2 linked regions of the Mytilus edulis genome follow. The protein of the gene in region 2 interacts with the protein of the main gene of each other region in a biochemical or structural test. Links are inferred from orthologs where the notes say so. Each region holds a gene or a part of one and is shown on either strand. Other genes may lie near its edges. The genes, in order: exodeoxyribonuclease-like and adenine DNA glycosylase-like.

Region 1 (9,343 bases), on a different chromosome or scaffold from region 2:
CATAATTTTTCCTGTAGATGCATGCTTATATTTGCCAAGATGCAGTGTGTATGAACCTATTACGGTTATTGCAGTTCATGTTTTTTGCCAAGATGCAGTGTAAAAGAACCTATAATAGTTGTAAGTTTTTTCTTTGTTGTAGTTTGAGTGATAAGTTGTTGTTTATTTTTTTATAAATCAGTATTTTTATCATCTTGTTATTTGTACATAATATATGTAGCACATATAAAACTATTTATTCTATTATGTACATATATGTATAGAAATTTTATTTATAAACCTTGTATAGATACATTGTAAATTTTTATGAAGTACAAAAAACCAAGAACATGCACCTTTAATAGTAGTACATAGATGTTAAACCAGTTTGTGTCATAACACTTAACTTTGTTCAGTATTTAGTAACTATAAACACAAATGTTAGCCAGGAGAAATGTGACTAAAATTATATCCGTAAAATTTAAAAAAATGATAATTGTCTGGACTTAATTTTGTTATCACTCAAAACCTGTAGTTTGTCAAAAATTCCCCAAGATGTATCTATAGAAATATGCCCAACAATCTTCTCACTGCCCTTAAATTTCAGTCCAACATCATATATACATCCATCATTTGTTTTATTCATACAGGCCAATTTTATAATGTCATCAAATGTACTCCCTTGGTGCTGATCAAATTAAATCAAGTAGCTTCAAGAAGACTACTACACATATTGCCTATTGTATGTAATAGTCATATAAAGCTCTTTGTATGTAAAGTCAGCAGGAAAAACTATGGAGTACCGGTACACCCTATCTTCAAAATCAAGGTTGGCTATATATAAGAGAGGATTTCTTTGGTGTATATATTGACTGCATAAGAGTCTAAATTTTAATTTTTTTTTCTTAAGAACTGTGAAGGCCTTCAAAGTTAATAGAAATATGTTTCAACTTTCAGACAATGTGTTGTGGTCACTGTACTAACTGGTCAAACCAAATTAATTTGTAGATATTATGTCAACTGTGCCATTTGATGTTATACGGTTATAACATACTGATAAATTAGAATGTAGATATAATATAGACAGATTTAATAGGAAAATAGTGAAATCTCTTACAAACCTGCCATTAATTATTAAACCTCTTTGTTGTATAGTGATAGAGATCTATCAGATGAATTCTTATAAAGGAGATTGTAAGGGATTTCAATATTCAACATGTTCCTCATCTAAATTTTATACTTCTATTGAAATATATTAAGACAGTTATCTCATAAATGCAAATTGCCATTTGAATTTACTTTTGTGGAATTCTTCAGAGGTTTTGTTGTTCAGCTTTTAGGGGTTATTGTGGCCAAGTGGACTCAGTACATGTAGTTCATCTTTTTTTCAAACTTGCACATGCTACTTGAACATAATTTTAACATTATAAACATTGTTTCATTTTCACATGTATTTAAAGATCTTTTGTTACCTTTTTTTTTTAAATTAATTTGTCAAGTTGAAAACATGACATTGATGATCAAAAATTTCAATCACAAAAGTATTTAGATACCTCAAGTTGGGCATTTGTTTCTAAACTGATTTCAAAAAGATCAGACGAAAAATGTGTTAATAAAAGTGACAAAAATACTGTAAATTTAAAACTACTGTCTGCATTTAATATTGAGAATTCCATGTTTCTCCCCATGAATGTGTATGAGTGATATACATATTGAAATTGAAGTGTTCTGTTTTAGTGTATACTGGCTATGATTGTTTTTATTTAGTTGCTCACAGAGTTAACATTCCACAATGTATAACTATAATGTACTGCTTTGGAGAAGCAGAATAAAATTGGAAAATATTTGTGTGTTGTTTTATTTTGATTTTATGTCATATGTGCTTTATGTTACCTGATTGTTCTTGATGATAGGCTTGGCTGCACAAAGGGTAAATCTTGTGGATGATGAAACATGTGTCTAATTTTTGAAATAAACTCCTATTTGATTTCTTCCTAAAGCCTTCAAACTTTAACAATGGTTGTGTATACATTGAAAATGTGCACCATTTAGTGTAGCACCCAGTTCCTACATTTTTCTCAGATTATGATCCTTTGACAATTATCAGCAGACATTCAGACATACTGTATAGCGGGTTATTTTAGCGGGTGTAAAATTTCGCGATTTTCATTGAAAAAAGTATACAAAATATTTTGTCTGTTATTATTTTGGCAGATTCAGAACTTTTATCAATACCTTTGCATCTACACTTTAAATTGGCAGAATTTATTTTGTCGATTTTGTTCTATCCCTGAAAATAAGCGAAAATTTACACCCCGCCAAAATAACCTGAGTTCCCCTTAAGACATTCACATAATAGAATAACATGTGGTACAGACAGCCAGACTTGTTACAAGCACATTTTATGTTCACACTTTATCTTCCTAGACCATATGTCTTAAAGAACAATCCAATAAAGAAAAAACAACCTGCAGTAAAGCTACAAACTGGATGGCCACTAGCTTGATGAAGGAAATAAAACATAATTTGGGAACAAGTGGAGCTCACATTCCATAGTATTAGTATCATAGCTTTAGTAGTCATTCACAAGACAAGTTAACATATAGACTGATGGGGTGGGGCTCTGAACACGGACAGACTTATGGACCACTAAGATCATAAAGATTGGCTAGGTTTGGACACAGACCACTTTAAACAACATTACAAATAACATGTATAAATTGTTTTATATTGAAACATAAACATGATAAACAATATGTTATAAAATTTCCTGATAAATAAATTATCGTTGTTTTATACTGAACATGGTGGAAAACAAACCCACTTTTTATGTAATCAATTGATATTTATGATAAGACATTAAGATACGAAGTACTCTTCAGTGTTGGTTATACTAAACTTCTGACACATCAATCTAGCAATACATACAAAAATCAATATAGGTTTGAAGAAGGCTTATCTTTTTAATTAAGACACAGATTTAATTATATAAGTATTCTCTGTGGAAGTGTTTTATAACTAAGATAATTAATTATTTATTAATTTATGTCATAATCAATACACAATTCCCAATTTATAGCATGTTTCAAGTATGTGTGGTCATGGGAAAAAGTATTTTGGATAAATAATCGAAAGATAACCAATAGCAATAAGATAATAGTTAAGCAATGATCAATTGAATAAGAATGTGGTAAAAAAAAACAGAAATTAAAAGTTTTGTTTATTCTCAGTGAATTTCTGAACAAAAGAAATCATGAATTTTAGATGTTTTTATCACCATACAAGTGTGAAGACCACTGTGATTTGTGGTTATATCTTTTAAACTCATGACAGACTACAATATTTTGAAGAGATATTTAATACTGTTGTATCATCATCATTTTCACCTCCTTCTCTCAACATAATTATAAAATCAGATAAAACATACTTTATAACTTATCAAAAGCTGCAGTAGATTTGATAAAAACATTGCAATTACTTTGAGGGCAAGAAATAATTTTTTTTTTAACTATGAACATGATGAATTCAAATTTATCAGCACAAAATGTAATTGTGAATGTTTAGTGAACCTTTAAATTCTATGTAATGTGGCAAAAATCCAAAATAAATAAGTTATATATACACTGATATTCTTCAGTTAACATGACATGTATTTTATTAACTAATTGTTGATACAAAAAAATAGTTTAAATAAATTAATTATTTTTATTTAGATTTTTAAAAGCCATAATGAAAACAAAGGTACAAAACTGCAATTGGTTAATTGAGTCCTTGTGTTCAGTTGAAAAATTGCTTTTTTTGTCATCATCAAAAGACTTTTTTTCATTATACTCTTGATCCATCATAATCCAAAACATAGGCATGATAGGTGTATTAACAATTTACACAAATTACAAATGTCCTAATAAGATATACTCCTTTATGAGTTTTGGTAATGGTAATTGTTCCACTTTTTTCATTAAATGAATGTTTTGTGATGAATGAATCAATGAATTCCTGATAACAAGACAAGAAAGAGTTCTCAAAGTTTGAGGAGATTCTGCACAATACTTAATCAGTACCATCAGCTCAGGGTGGAGAATGAGATTTTGGAATTTTTCACTTTGGCATCTTTTAATTAAAGTTATGTCCACTGATGCACCTGCTTCTAACAGCATTTCTGGAATTTCTTTACAAGTGCTAAATTGGAGGGCTGTAGAAAGTGGGGTATGACCGTTTAATCCAGTATGATTTGGATTGGCTCCATTCAACAGTAGCAAGCGGGTAGTCTGTACACAGTTTGCACGACATGTCAGAATAAGAGGTGTCCAGCCTCTGATTTGCACAACATCAACCTTTGCACCTCTACGTACCAGCTGGGAAGCTATTTTACTGTTGGCATGCATGGCAGCCATGTGAAGGGGCCTAAGATTAGCTGTATCTTTTATATTAACATCACATTTATCACTGATCAGAATCGCTTTCACCATTTCATAGTTATCCATATCAACAGCATGTAACAATGGAGACCATCCACGGTCATCAACAATGTTCACATCAAATCCACCTTGAACAAGAAGTTTAACCATTGGGACATCTTCTTTAACAATGCACTTGAACATAATTGTTAATTTTAGTCGCTCTCTCTTTTTATATGGTTTTAAAATGTATGTATAGTTGAAAACATCCACTATATATTTTAGATTCGTGTTACATCCATTTTGTACTAAAGCTTGCACAATATTAATTTGATCATTTTCTATTGCAGTTTCCACCATTGTTTTTCCAACTCTTTCTGGTCTTTCGTTGCTTCTAAAAGCATGGTTAACATCCAAGCCTTTCTTCAAATATTCACGTAGTGTTTCAGCATCACCCTGAATAATACATCGGTGTAAGTCATCTTCAAAATAATCCATTGTTTCTCAATTTTGTCACAAAAAGTAGATATTTTCTATTCCAAATTTGCTGTCAGCCTGAGTGTCCTAAGTCATCCCCAATCCGTATGTGCTCCCTGGCAATAAATCAAAGACCGGAAGAATCAGGTACATTGTGTATTGACTCTTCTTCAACATAATGAGGCAAATTAATATTTTATTTCTCCACTATAGTTATGTACTGGTATTTCTGAACAGCTGAACAGTGTTCTGTTTGGAATAAATGTATGCATAATTAATAATTTGAGATAGTACCACATTTTGCACAGTATATGAAATATTAATTCATACATATGATAAGCAAATTATCCATGACAATGAACTGAATTTGTGAAATCAGAAAAAAAAAACCTCAACTGTCAAGGGAGAAAGTCAGCTTTTAGAACGTCCATGCGTAACTTAGCAAATGTAAACTTCCGGCAGGTGCCCGTTTAATTAAAAATACGGAATCACATATAAACGAAACAATGATACGATCAAAGCTAATGCTTTATTAACAATGAAAAGACATGTTATATTACATGTCTTTCAAATGAACTATAAATTTGTTTAAGCTTAGTAGTCGGTTTCTGCAAAAAGTAAGGATGACTTTAAATACTTTACATCGTTTTTAAAGTAATTCGTTTCGGAATAAAAGTACATATGGCGGGAAATTTTCTATTGTGAATGTTGTTTGTAAATAGAAATTTGCTGATACCGGCATTTAATAGATTCATCAGTTCAGCGAAGTTAAGTACCATGCCACCAAAAAGAAAGGTAAAAATATATAAATATAATCAGCTAAAAAATGTTTTGTCAGTTTCTAAGCTCTGTGTGTGTGTGTATGTAAAACATTGTGAAATAAATATTTTATATGCAAATTGAGAAAATAAAGTATCTTCAGTGCTCAGACCCTCAGTGGGAAACGAACTCTGTAACAGGAGACAGTTTGACCTTAGTATTTGTATATGTATCAGTATCTTTCTTTTATTATCTGTGTGTTTTATTTGGTAAAGTCAGCTATAATGTTAACTCAGCCTCAGGTATTTATACATTGTAATGATGAGTTTTTTTTATCGTGTGTATAAATCAACAATACGTGTGTCTACTCTTCGAACACACCTTTACCAACAAATCTACACTCTACTTCTGATAATTGACATTGATCTCAATATCCCTTTAGTTAACTAATATTTCTTGCGAAAATATTTTAATCTAAACAACTATTGATTACTACCAAGAAGAAAAGAAAAGCTTTTAATCATTTATCTTATGTAAAACACTGAGAATCCTTACTGATTAACCAATAGAAATCAACTACACTTTTTAGGTTACCCTGGATACAATCATGTAAGCAAAATAATAACAATGAAAATGAATTGTAAATTGAAATTAGCCATCCTACATATAATTTCAAATATATAAAAACCGATTTCGCTACACGTCCATGGTTCAGCCTTAGTTGATTCAGTCTTGGTCGTCTAGTCCATGTACCACTTCAGCCATATGATAAAAGAGGATAGTAATGCCTTTGACATCAGGCGTCAAACAGTCATTTTCGGCTACCGTTAGCGTCAAATTGGTTAAAATTTTACAGTGATTTGTCAAAATATCCTTATCATTTCTGTCATTTTTTTAAAAAATAACTTGATTTGTCAAAATCAGTCAATGTTTTTTTATCGTCTGAAGGATGTAGTGTACATTTTACTGTCATACACCTAAAATTACTGTGAATGTCATTTGGCAAGAATTTTTACCGTTTTGTCATGAAGGTACCCCCATTACTACCCTTATAAAAGTTCTGGCAATATTTTCATTTTAATTTATACTTTTAAAATGAGATTGTTTTGTTTCATAATTTATAATTTAATTCATATACTTTTTATGCCTTTAAAAATAAGTTCACATTAGGAAATACGACATCTGATTTCCCCCATAATAAGAATATAAAAATTAGTCCTGCTTAGTCAGTCAGTTATTCTTGTCATGTTTGTATTACAGCTTTGAGACATGATCGAGCTGGCTTTATCAGCATCATCACAATGTCAGATGAGAAGTTTTCATTGACATTACAAATTATTGGAAACAATATGAATACGAAAGTTTCAGTTTGATCCAGTTCACACATATCAATAAAAACATAAGCTCTTGAGAGCTTTTTACCTTTCGGCCATGGTTCAGCTGCATTTAATTCGCCTTCAATTGTTGGTTTTGTCCATGTTCCTCTATCATGACTATAATGCTATGTAATAAAAGTTGTTTCAGCAATATTTTCATTTTATATTTTTTAAAAGAGAATTAGTTGTATATACTTTCATTTATTATATTTATATCAAATTGAAAATGGAAATGGGGAATGTGTCAAAGTGACAACAACCCGATCAAAGAGCAGAAAACAGTCAAGCCACCAATGGGTCTCCAATGCAGTGAGAAACATTCGCTCCTTGGCATGCTTGAGCTGGCCCCTAAACAAAAATGTATACTAGTTCAGTGATAATGGACTCCGAAATATACGCAAGAAACTAAATTTAAAAATCATACAAGACTAACAAAGGCCAGAGGTTCCTGACTTAGGACAGGCGCTAAAATGTGGTAGGGTTAAACATGTTTTTTGAGATATCCCCTTATAACTCTAGCCAATGTAGAAAAAACAAACACTCAACAATACACACAGTAAAACTCAGTTTAAAAAAGAAGAAGAGGTAGAAATATACCTTTAATAACTTTTAAAAAAACTTTATTGCACTTTTATAGTAATGATGATTTATTAGAAAAATGTTTCAAAAGGTTATGTAGATGCTGAGACTGAATATAAATCATTTATTGGATTGAAATCGCAGGTAGAGGGCACTCCTGATTTAAAACGCATACCATTTTATCACTTGAGCTCATCCAATTATCTAATTAAATATACAAACATACATATATCCTGTGGAATCAAATATCTTAGTAATATACAAATGATATAAAAATTACAAAAGTATTTAAGAAATAATTGATGCAAGCTATACTTTATTGTAGTTTTAACATGGGTAGGCATTATATTCGTGATTATTTTTGCCCGAGCGATAGTGAGTAAGTTCAGTACAGCATTGTTATATATTTTGAAGCCGAACAATAATTTAATTTAGTAGATGTGGTGTATATATTTTTGAAAATTCAATCTTCTGATAAAAAGAAAGAACATTTTAATTTTTTAAACTCTGGTGGATAGTTGTCTCACATGTCTCATTGGTAATCATACCACATCTCCTTATTTTAATATTTAATGTGCTTTATCATTAAATTTGTTTATCCAATAAAATCATTTGATTGATTATATTATTATAGAAGGCAGTCACAGATGTTGAAGCAACAACCAAAAAGACAACAGAAGCAGAAGATGAACCAACCACCAAGAAGACAAAGATAGAAAAGAAGTCCAGCACAGCAAGTACAGATCTGCCTGATGATGTAGATACTTCATTCCCAACACAGATTAATCCTGATGCTAAAACAAAGGATGGAAGGAAATTTACCAAGACTATTGTGTCGTGGAATGTTAATGGTGTCAGGGCTTGGTTAAAGGTAATTTACCAAGACTATTGTGTCCTGGAATGTTAATGGTGTCAGGGCTTGGTTAAAGGTAATTTACCAAGACTATTGTGTCCTGGAATGTTAATGGTGTCAGGGCTTGGTTAAAGGTAATTTACCAAGACTATTGTGTCCTGGAATGTTAATGGTGTCAGGGCTTGGTTAAAGGTAATTTACCAAGACTATTGTGTTGTGGAATGTTAATGGTGTCAGGGCTTGGTTAAAGGTAATTTACCAAGACATTGTGTTGTGGAATGTTAATGGTGTCAGGGCTTGGTTAAAGGTAATTTACCAAGACATTGTGTTGTGGAATGTTAATGGTGTCAGGGCTTGATTAAAGGTAATTTACCAAGACATTGTGTTGTGGAATGTTAATGGTGTCAGGGCTTGGTTAAAGGTAATTTACCAAGACTATTGTGTTGTGGAATGTTAATGGTGTCAGGGCTTGGTTAAAGGTAAGTGATAGATTTCAAAAGTAGATACATATGTCAAGCCTTTGGGAGACCTAAGCAATGTAGAATTATTCAGTATAACTATTATGTACTCGAGTAGAAGAATATCTGTGATTGTAAAGTTTTACTGCTATTCTTTGAAATACTTTGAAATAGCAAAACTTTAGCTTGTTCTTTTCTAAAGGAATTAATGAACAAACTCAGACACAAACATTTCTCATACATGTACAATATACATGTATATACTGACAATGTTATGTACATGTATATATTGACAATGTTATGTACATGTATATACTGACAATGTTATGAACATGTATATATTGACAATGTTATGTCCATGTATATATTGACATTGTTATGTACATGTATATACTAACAATGTTATGTACATGTATATACTGACAATGTTATGTCCATGTATATATTGACAATGTTATGTCCATG
Region 2 (9,945 bases):
TGTACATGTAGGAGTCAATATTTGCAACTTTTTGATTCTGGTCAATTATTTCTTGCTTAACAATACTTGACTTATTAAAGTCATATTTTGTCTTGCATTAAAGGGAGACAAATCCTAAAACTTACAAATTTATACCTCTATGAGTCAAAAGCAGATTCAGACTTATTTATGTCTGACCTCTGACTGTTACAAGACATAAGCCATTATTGCTCCCATTGTTCCAATTTATGTAAGTCTGATTGAAGGTAGTCTGAGATTACTCTGACGTCCAACGAGATTACTTGAACGTCCAACAGCTGTTTTGCCAGACAAGCTGGTGCTGAGGGATGTCAGAGCCAGTCCCATATCATATTGTTTCCTGCAGTTTTTGAAAAGGTCATGTGTAATTTTTTTCTCAGATGTGAGATTAAACTTACAATCAAAGCATCAAAGGGTGCTATAGGCAGTTAATCAAAAACCCAAAGGCAAACTTGGCCACGTTCAGATTCATGAATAGTGTAAAGAATTAGTCAAAATATTTATCTCAGGCATTGTTCTCAGCTATTTCTAAAGTATCAAATAATGCTTGTACAGTAATGTTTATGTTATGCAATCCTACCACTTTCAAAAGTTATTTCCAATTTATATTTATAAAGATTCAATGTCTGAGATTATACACATACACTGTCCTATGTTAGGGGAGAGTTTTGTGCCAGTTAAGATTTTTAAGCTGCCACATTCTGTATGTACCTGTCCATAGTGAGGACCCACTAATGCGGTGATTGTTGCTGTATATCATATTTATTTTTCATAATTGTTTTGTACATTTTTTAAAATTTTATTAATTTCTTGTGTATACTTCTGATTTTAGTATGATGTCCAAGTTATTGTAAATGCTCTTTTGTTCCGACGTTGGAAAGTTCCAGGCAGAAAGAACTAACTAGCCGTAAAGTTCTCCAGAACTTATCAACTACATTGTAGTTACTTTGTTCTTCCTCTGGTTTAAAAGTTCCACCTGAACAAGTGACTAGTTGAAATAGTTTACATTTTTGTTATCATGGTTATTGTGTTAAGGGGCCAGCAAAAGCAATCCTTTGGGTGTAGGAGTTTCTCCCTGCTTTAAAGATCCATTGGTAACTAGTCCGTGATTACTCTGACGTCTAAACGGCTGTTTTGCCAGACAAGCTGGGGCCGTGGGCCCAGGGCCCCTGCTTGTCTGGCAAAATAGCCGTTAGACGTCAGAGTAATCTCGGACTAGTCGACTCGTTACCTTTTTATCGTATCATGCGATTTCTTTTCTTATTATTTTAATGGGGAAATCGTTTACCAGCATAAAGTTGCTGAAGGAACCGCATAGAATTGATTCAATAACACTTAACGAGTGTTTGAATGTGAAAAATTATAAAAAGAAACATATAAAAAAGTCGTATTTTTCTGTACCGGAAATCGAAAAGTCCTTGTAAATCAAAAACAATTACGATGTGATACGTGTCACAGATTCGGACTTAATATTTTACAAAATATGCGACTTTGAAGTTAAATAATGCCGTCCTTTAGAAAACAGTTGTTAAAGTTTATATCACAATATTTATTGAACCACATCGAGCTTAATCAAAGCACGTGTAGCATTATGTTACATTGTGTAACACCAAAGGGAAACAAGCTTAAAATGACCTTGACATCGACCAATCAGAAACTTAATTTGACAAGCATGAAGGTGATTTGCTAGAAATCGGAATAATATTAACAAGAAAACAAATGAGCATACATTAAAGATTACTGAATAAAGATGATTGAAATAATCTCAATCAGACAAAAAAACGAATAAAATGATTAATAATAAAGTACCGATATATCATCAGAATTCTCCCAATTTAAAAGGTACCTAAATTTCGTCTTCTATGTAATTTGAAATTACCGCCAACTTATATCAGCTTATTAATAGACTACTGACGTATGTAATACGTATCGATGACAAACAATATTCCTACGACTTTTGCTATCTGGGAAATGTAAACGACTCATCTTTATAGATTTTTAGCGATCAAATATTTCATACAATTGTTCTTTGACATCTTAGCCCACAGCACAGGGGGTAATAAACTATAGAAGGATTTCTATCGAGCACTACTTCCTATGTGCAACTTCAAAACTTTTGGGAAAATCGACGACCATTTAACATTTTTATGGTAATATTTTTTATATTCCAAAATAAAAAGTATGAAAAAAGTGCCCAATTAATTATAAATAACATGATAGCCAGCCAGATAATAAAAGTGGCACATATTTCATCATTTATTGGGTAGAACATAAATCTAGGGTGCTCGAAAAAAGCAGCTTAACTGCTTAAAAATAAAGAGATAAATGTAAAATGAACAAATTGAGGCGATTTATATGATCCAAGACCGTCAGTCAGCCCCAGAAGCAAGAAAGCAGCTCATCCATTTTGAATAGGCAAATATCCACTTTTTGATATCATGGACAGGTCAGGAATAACCACCAATTGACGTATAATACCTCAATTGACGTATAATCCACCAAATGGTGGATATAGAGATAGATCAATTGACGTATAATGTTCTTTTTTTCAAATAAAATTTTAAAATGAAATTCGCGCGTTTTTTTGCACATACCATCTGAACCTTTGAATGGTACTCATTGATGACATGAAGTCCATTCTGACACCTCGTGCTGCATTTGCAGTGACAAACTCAAAAAATAATTTGCACCTCCTTTACACACCTATAAATTCTTTTTTCAAAAGACCTGATGGATATGGGACATCTAAGAGTTAACTCAGACTAGATTAAATGGTGTGACAATCAATAAGTGATGTTATTGTTAAATACATAATGGTATCATCTGCAAAGAGGCGCACATTACTTTTGAGGTTGTCTGGCATGTCATTTATGTAAATTAGGAAAAGACATGGGCCAAGAACAGAGCCTTGATGAAAGTCCGACAGTGCAGGTCAGCTGTCTGTCAACTACTACCTTTTTTCTAATTCGTTCATACCCCAGAAATAATTTGGCTTAGGCCAAAAAAAAAAATAGGTGTGTTTCCGGTCGCCCGACCGACCCTAATTTTTTGGCGCCGACCCTAACTTTTTTTTCCCGGAAAAAAAAAACAAACAAAAAATCCGGATTTTTTTCGTTTTTTTCCGGAAACGGTTTTTGTTTAGTATAGCCTTTGAATGGCATCTTTTAAACGTTTGATTTCAAATAAAATTTTAATACAGTAAGCATTTGTGTGATACAGATTGAAGTCAAACAACGGCATGGCTTCTGCTATGGCCATCAGTCAAAGTGTGTTATCAATAACAATCGATGAGTGTCCACACAGGAACGAGAAAAAAAGTATAATAGCCCCATTTTCTATTAATTCTACCACCTTTATTGATATATTCAATCAGTATCATGACTTTGGATTAAAGAACAATGAATTTACTGTGACTGGAAAAAGCTGGCATCAGTTCTGTGAACTAAATTGTCTGAAAGAAACTGATTATAAAACAGGTCTTTGCTGAGACAGACTTTGATGGGCTTTCTGTGTAAGACTATAGCCTGACCCGTACAGATGGCATATCAGTTCTGAAAAGTTTGAAAATTTTATAAGCTGGAAGTCCTGGCCAAGTCTTCTGCAACTTTTGAACATGGACTATTCATATCTTGTATACTTTATACAATGAACTGATGAAAATAACCTGAAAGAATAACAAACTGATTATAAAAATACACAAAAAACAACCGAAGCAGGCCAGTGAAAAAAAAAAAAAAAAAAAAAAAAAAAAATACCTACCTACCGACCCTAATTTTTTGGGGCATGCAACAGGAAACACACCTATTTTTTTTTTGGCCTTATCTGAGTAAACAGAACGTCAGAACTTTGATTAGTAACCATGGGCTAAATCCAAAAGTGACTGTGAATAATTCGTCGGTACTTGTCTACCTAGAGATAAGACAATGTGAAATTATGTGATGTATTTTAGTCAGATTTTATTTCATAAGAATTCGCTCTATGCATGCTTTTTCAGTGGAATTGTTTAAAGATAATCATGTTATGTAAGCAAGCTCAAAAATTCACATAAACATCCCCGAAAATAAAAACGAGGACAACTGAATCGGTTATTATTAACCAATTTATTACAATATTTGTCTTATGCAGTTTCTTGAGGCATATGTTCTAACCTGATGTACCATTTTGATGTATTTTCCTTTTAACCATGATCACAAACAAATTTTGAAGTCGGCGGGAAAGGAGGGGTATCATTTACATAAGGGAAGGAAACGTTAATATTCGTTGCAGAAACGGTGAACGTAATTTGTTATTTACTTTCTCCTTTGTTGGAGCACTATAAAATGATATTACGATTGGAAGGTGTCCGGATTCAGTTTTGTACAAGGTTCATTTTCCTTTTTAATTTGTCTTTTCTCTAGACGAATTATTCACAATGACATTTAGGATAATATGAACGGATTTAGCACATCGTTACAAATCAAAGTTCTGACGTTCTGTTTACTCAGATAAGCCAAATTATTTCAGGGCTATGAACAATTTAGAAACAAAATGAGAATGATTGTTTAGTTACCAAAACATTGTATCAATTACATTTTTAAGAAAGATGTACAATTCACTGCAAATTTAGTAAAGATTCAAGAGTTAATTCCCATTTTACATGATATCAGTATAAATGTCTAATAAAAAAGTGTATAATATTTTTTTACCATTATAAATGACCAAATATATGTACTATTAAAGGGGCACTAGCTACGAGATATATAATAAAAATCTAATATTTTTTGCTCAATCATTAATGAAATGCAAATAGTGAAATAATAATTCGCTGGTTAGCAGCCAGTATGGTTAAATTTTGTCAAAATATTAAGCTAAAACACATTGATTATGAATTATTCACTTGCAAGTGAATAACTCGGCCTCATTGAATCCGTTTTCATGTAAACTTCAATTTAACCCCTAAGCTTGAGATGGATAACAAGTGAGTTGTATGTGCAAAGATTTTTAAGGAAAAGAATGTCAACATTGAAAGTGAAACAAAGGTAAATAGTTTGATTGACTGATCCGATCCACAAAAAAATCATTCTTATACAGATAAAAACGTTGATAAACATTTATTTTTCATTTATAATATGAAATTAATAGACCTAGAAAAATCCAACAGCACGAGTTTGCTTAATCTATTTATATCTACAAGTATATTTATGTTTACATCGCTTAAATATGGTCATCGGATGACTTAAGAGGTCAACTCGATAGTTAATTAGAAGGCGTATGGACTAAAATACACACGAAACGAAGCAACATATTTTTATGCCTGTCTCCTGTTACTTGTTTATTTTAGACTTTTGATAGTTTGGATAAATGTTTTACATTGTTATAAATCGAATATGAGAATTTGATTAAAACCAGTGAGCATGAATTTGACAGCTAGTGCCCTTTTAAGTGAAAATTAATGGAAAATCATCGCATTTCTATATCCATTTTTGCTAATCTTAGTAAAAATGTATATATCAGTCATTTGAGATCCAAAATTTTAGTAACTCGAATTAGAACTAATTATCTTTCATTCAACCTAGCTAAATGATATGTAGGTTTTAATGAAAAATAACATTAAATAAGTAAGTATAACAAAATGAGATAGAAAAAAACGACCAAAAAAAAAACTACCGACATTGACCAAGAGTACAAAAATAATTAACTAAGAAAGCTGCTCAAAACCCAATTTGAAATTATATTAAACACAAACTTCACAAAACATTGCGGTTGAACCCATACGCTTCGGAAGGATGTTACTGTTGCAACGACCTTGTAGGTTTTGGCAAATCAGGAAAACAGCTGTTTGCCATTCGTTTGATGTGTCTGACCTTTTGGTTTTGCCATTTGATAGTTGATTTTCCGTTTTGAATTTCCCTTTGAGTTCAGCATTTTTTTATATTTTACTTTTATACCATAATTCTTCAAAGTTTCAAGCTCGGTTCGGAAAGAAGTTCTTGACTGACGTAATTATTTTTTTTATCAAAAGCATACAATGTTTCTTCAATGGTATATTAAATTAAGGCAAATGTACAATGGAGCGTGGCATTCATGTCAACTTGTGCAAACAAGCTCAAATACAGTTTGCGGAACAGGTGTATACCTGTCAAATGTTAAATCTACGGGAATTTTGTTCTCTTTCGAGTGAAATACAGCTTTAATTTAATATGCTAGTCAACTAATTATTAGATGGTAGGCAATGTACAACAAATTTCATATATAACGAAATTGGATGAACTATAAGACTAAGGGTCTATTGAATTGGTCTCCAATATAAAAAGTGTGGTTTTCTCAACCAAACCATTGATTAATTCAAGACAAAAAACGCTAAATATTTCTTACATAATTTTAATTATTTCTTAAATAAATTTATTAAACCGGCATTAAAGCTAAATTCATGCAACAACAGTTTCCATGTGTTACAATTTAATAAATGTAAAAAAAAAAAAAAAATGGTAATCACATGAAATTTTAAAGGAGAGAGATCTCGTGCTTCGACAGGATAAGATTTGGATAGATTATTTTTTTCCCTGTTATATGTCATGACGAATTCGAGTTCGTACTTGTGTATCGGTACTTTTTTAATAGCAAAACTCAAGCATAAGACTTTATAAACACGAACAGCATTTTATTACACCATTATACAAATATCTAGATACATTTTTAGATAAAAAATATCCTCAATTATATTTACCATGTTTACATGAACATTTATGAAATGTCTAAAATTTTATTAAGTACATTTCGATATTCTTAACTGTCATTTTGTACTCTTTGATGCCGACATTTTAGAATTTTCCGACTCCCATCTTCGTTAACATATAGTTTAGAAAAATCAAATCCACTATGATCTAAGAAACAGTTGTGGTGTTCTTTCTGTTGTTTTTGTTTTCTTAGCCTTGCTTCATGAAGTTTATTGACTCTGTGAGAGGATTGCGCTGGCTTCTTGGCGATTTCACTCTCTTGGAAGACTTCATGTTGTAAAATTGTTGCTTCATGTGGGTGAATTTTACTGTCACTTTTTGATTTATTAAGCATCATCCAAGCACAGTAAGATAAGATCGTTAGTAATAATCCGATTGCATACCCAATAGATCCTAGCAACATTTTATTCGATTTTCTGCTCTGTTTCGACTGTTGAGTAAAACAAGAACACTCAGAATATTCTAAAACCGAACAACCCTGAAAAAAGAAAAAGAGGTAAACAGAATCAAAAGTAGTACGCAAAACAACACCCACACACTTAGAACGATATGCAAGTTCTTAGATTTGACAGGTCTTACCCTTCCGGAGCACATGATATCAACCCAGTTTTTGGAGGGGTTCATATTCACAGGCATGTGTCTTAGAAAAAAATCCTGGTACATAAAGGTTCTTTGTATATAGGGAAAAAAATATGAGACCAGTGCCTGTGTTCGTATTGTTTAGTCCTTATTTTTCTATGTTGTTTTGTGTCTGGTTTTTTTCCCTCTTTTTTTAAGCCATGGCGTTGTCAGTTTATTTCAAATTTATTAGTTGAATGTCCCTCTGGTATCTTTCGCCAATCTTTCATACAATTTAGTACTCTGTAATGTCATTCCATAGTTATCACTGGAACCACTTGTAAAGACATTACTATTTAGTATACTGTAATTGATCCAGAAAACACACCTGTTTACCTCTTGTCTCTCTGTCTGAATTTTAGTACTTATAATACATTTCAATTAACCCATTAGAGCAATGTTTTTTTGTGTGAGTTATAACCTTCTCTGACGGTTAATGCAAACTAAGGACACAAAAGTATCACGACAGTATGTGTATGTCTGGTCAGAGTTCGTGATACCCGCTTTATATTACACAATAACAATGATACAAGGGTACAAATGTGTATACAACCAACTCCTTGTTTTGTTTGCTTGTGGTATACAATACATCTTTACGACTAATACGCATTGCTTTACAATTATTACATTCATACATTCTTTTGACACTTATATTTAAGCATGGCACAAATTCGTGTTTTTTACAGACTGTTTATGTCTTTAACAATTGGATGTGCACTGGTTGATATTTTGTATATGGTCGTTAATTTTTTATTAGTAGTTATTGGCTCTGAACTTGCTTGCAGTAACTGTGAGTACTCTCAGATCAATACATTGTGTTTTGAGAGTTTTTTTATATGTTTGTTTTGACTGATGATTCAAGAATTTTTCAACTTATTTTTACATTTTGTTCGTTAGTAGAGGGTTTGGCACCCTTTAACCATTTTAAACCGAACCACATTACGTTTGCACCTGTCCCTATTAGTCATGAGCCTGTAATTTAGTTGTTGTCCTTTGCTGCTGTTATTATATTTGTTTATCGTTTATTTCTTTGTACATACATTGGTTTTCCTGTTGGAATTGTTTCAAATTTTGTCGTGTTGGGGTCTTGAATAGTTTGCTATTTTCATGTGGTAGAGATTTTTGTTATTCACGCTACTAAATATATCATTTAATATCTTATGGATAAACTCATCATAGATATATACCAGGATTAGAATTGTGTACGCCAGACGAGCGAAAAATCTACAAAAGACGCATCACTGTAGCTGGAACCAAAAAGGGAAAAAGGGGGACAAATGTACAAAGTTGAGGAGCACTGCGGATCCAAAATTTCTATAGGTTTATAGCCGTCTCATTGGCAATCATAAAGCATCTTCAAATTTTTATATATACCCTGAGTCTCCTGTTTGTCGTAAATTAACTTTACCTCAGATTCATTAGTATGTCTTTCCTCGCATATATCACCGAACCAGGAATCTATACATTCACATTTAAACCCATCATAATTGTTCATGCAGGTACCATCATGTAAGCATGGATGTGAGGAGCAATGATTCATTCCTACAAACAGTCATACTGGTTTATATTTAAAGAAACAAATTGCACTAAGACAAACAAATAGAACACAACAAAATCGATCGGAAGACAATTTAACGATGGCGCAAGACAATTTAACGATGGCGCGAGTCATTTGACGATGGCGCAAGACATTTGAACGATGGCGGGGCGCCATCGTTAAACAGGCCATGTAGATCCCTGGATCCATCTATCATCTATTTATTCGTATGATGCATATTCCATTTACGGAATTCTCATTACATATGGAAGAAGTAACATTTCATTATATTGAACAGCACGTTATGCTGTTAAAGGATGTCTTTTTTATGATGAATTCCATGTCTACTTAGGTTAATATTTGAGGCAATTATTATTGCATTTACTTGACACCACAGAAATAGCAGTTTTTTTTCTTTTTATCATGGATAACACCAAGGGTTCATAATGGAAACGTTTTGTTTTATATATTTAACAATCTTATACCGATACTAAGAAAAGGTTTCAATTTAATATTTCCGTTTTATTTTCTGATTCGTTAATTTACACAAGTGAAGGACGCCAGATGTCAATCTTGAATCAGAAACTGCTGAGACCTCCGGTCTTTTTTCAGCTCTTTCTTAACATGTTTTGATGATAGTAGAGTACGTTTTGTATTTTAATTATTTTGGCCATGGAATTGTGTGATCCGCATCGACTTACAATTTTTTTGTTTTACATTTTTAGAAATGAAGGGATGCCCTTATATTTATTTCAAGTTTTTTTTATGAGATACCACATGATAAATGGATTTATATAGTAACTTTATACATAATGTATTCTGACTTACGATGTTCACAATGTTGTCCTGTAGAATCATTTGAACAGTGACAACGATACCCATTGATAAGATCTACACATGTTCCATTATTCCTACATGGATTACTGGTGCATTCGTTTATAGCTAAAAGTATACACATTCAGCATTAAAAATAAATTGTATCAACCTTTTAACTATTCCTACGTGAATAAAAAAAATCTTTATGTGGATACAACATAAATGAATTGTACCAATATA

What was found.
Region 1: the proteins of adenine DNA glycosylase-like (region 2) and exodeoxyribonuclease-like form a complex in vitro, tested with the Homo sapiens proteins (3 studies listed by BioGRID and IntAct, with this or other methods). The link is inferred for Mytilus edulis from reciprocal best matches to the Homo sapiens genes MUTYH and APEX1.

What each region holds. Positions count from the first base shown.
Region 1 is NC_092353.1:831,741-841,083, reverse strand, and holds the start of exodeoxyribonuclease-like, read left to right. Parts: upstream 1-5,500; 5' UTR 5,501-5,558; coding exon 5,559-5,648; intron 5,649-8,201; coding exon 8,202-8,438; intron 8,439-9,343. Other genes in the region: ankyrin repeat and SOCS box protein 8-like, read right to left, coding at 3,870-4,874.
Region 2 is NC_092348.1:3,362,249-3,372,193, reverse strand, and holds the start of adenine DNA glycosylase-like, read right to left. Parts: upstream 4,259-9,945; 5' UTR 4,249-4,258; coding exon 4,167-4,248; intron 1-4,166. Other genes in the region: protein eyes shut homolog, read right to left, coding at 6,784-7,212, 8,761-8,894, 9,718-9,831. UniProt on the Homo sapiens protein: Involved in oxidative DNA damage repair. Initiates repair of A*oxoG to C*G by removing the inappropriately paired adenine base from the DNA backbone. Possesses both adenine and 2-OH-A DNA glycosylase activities.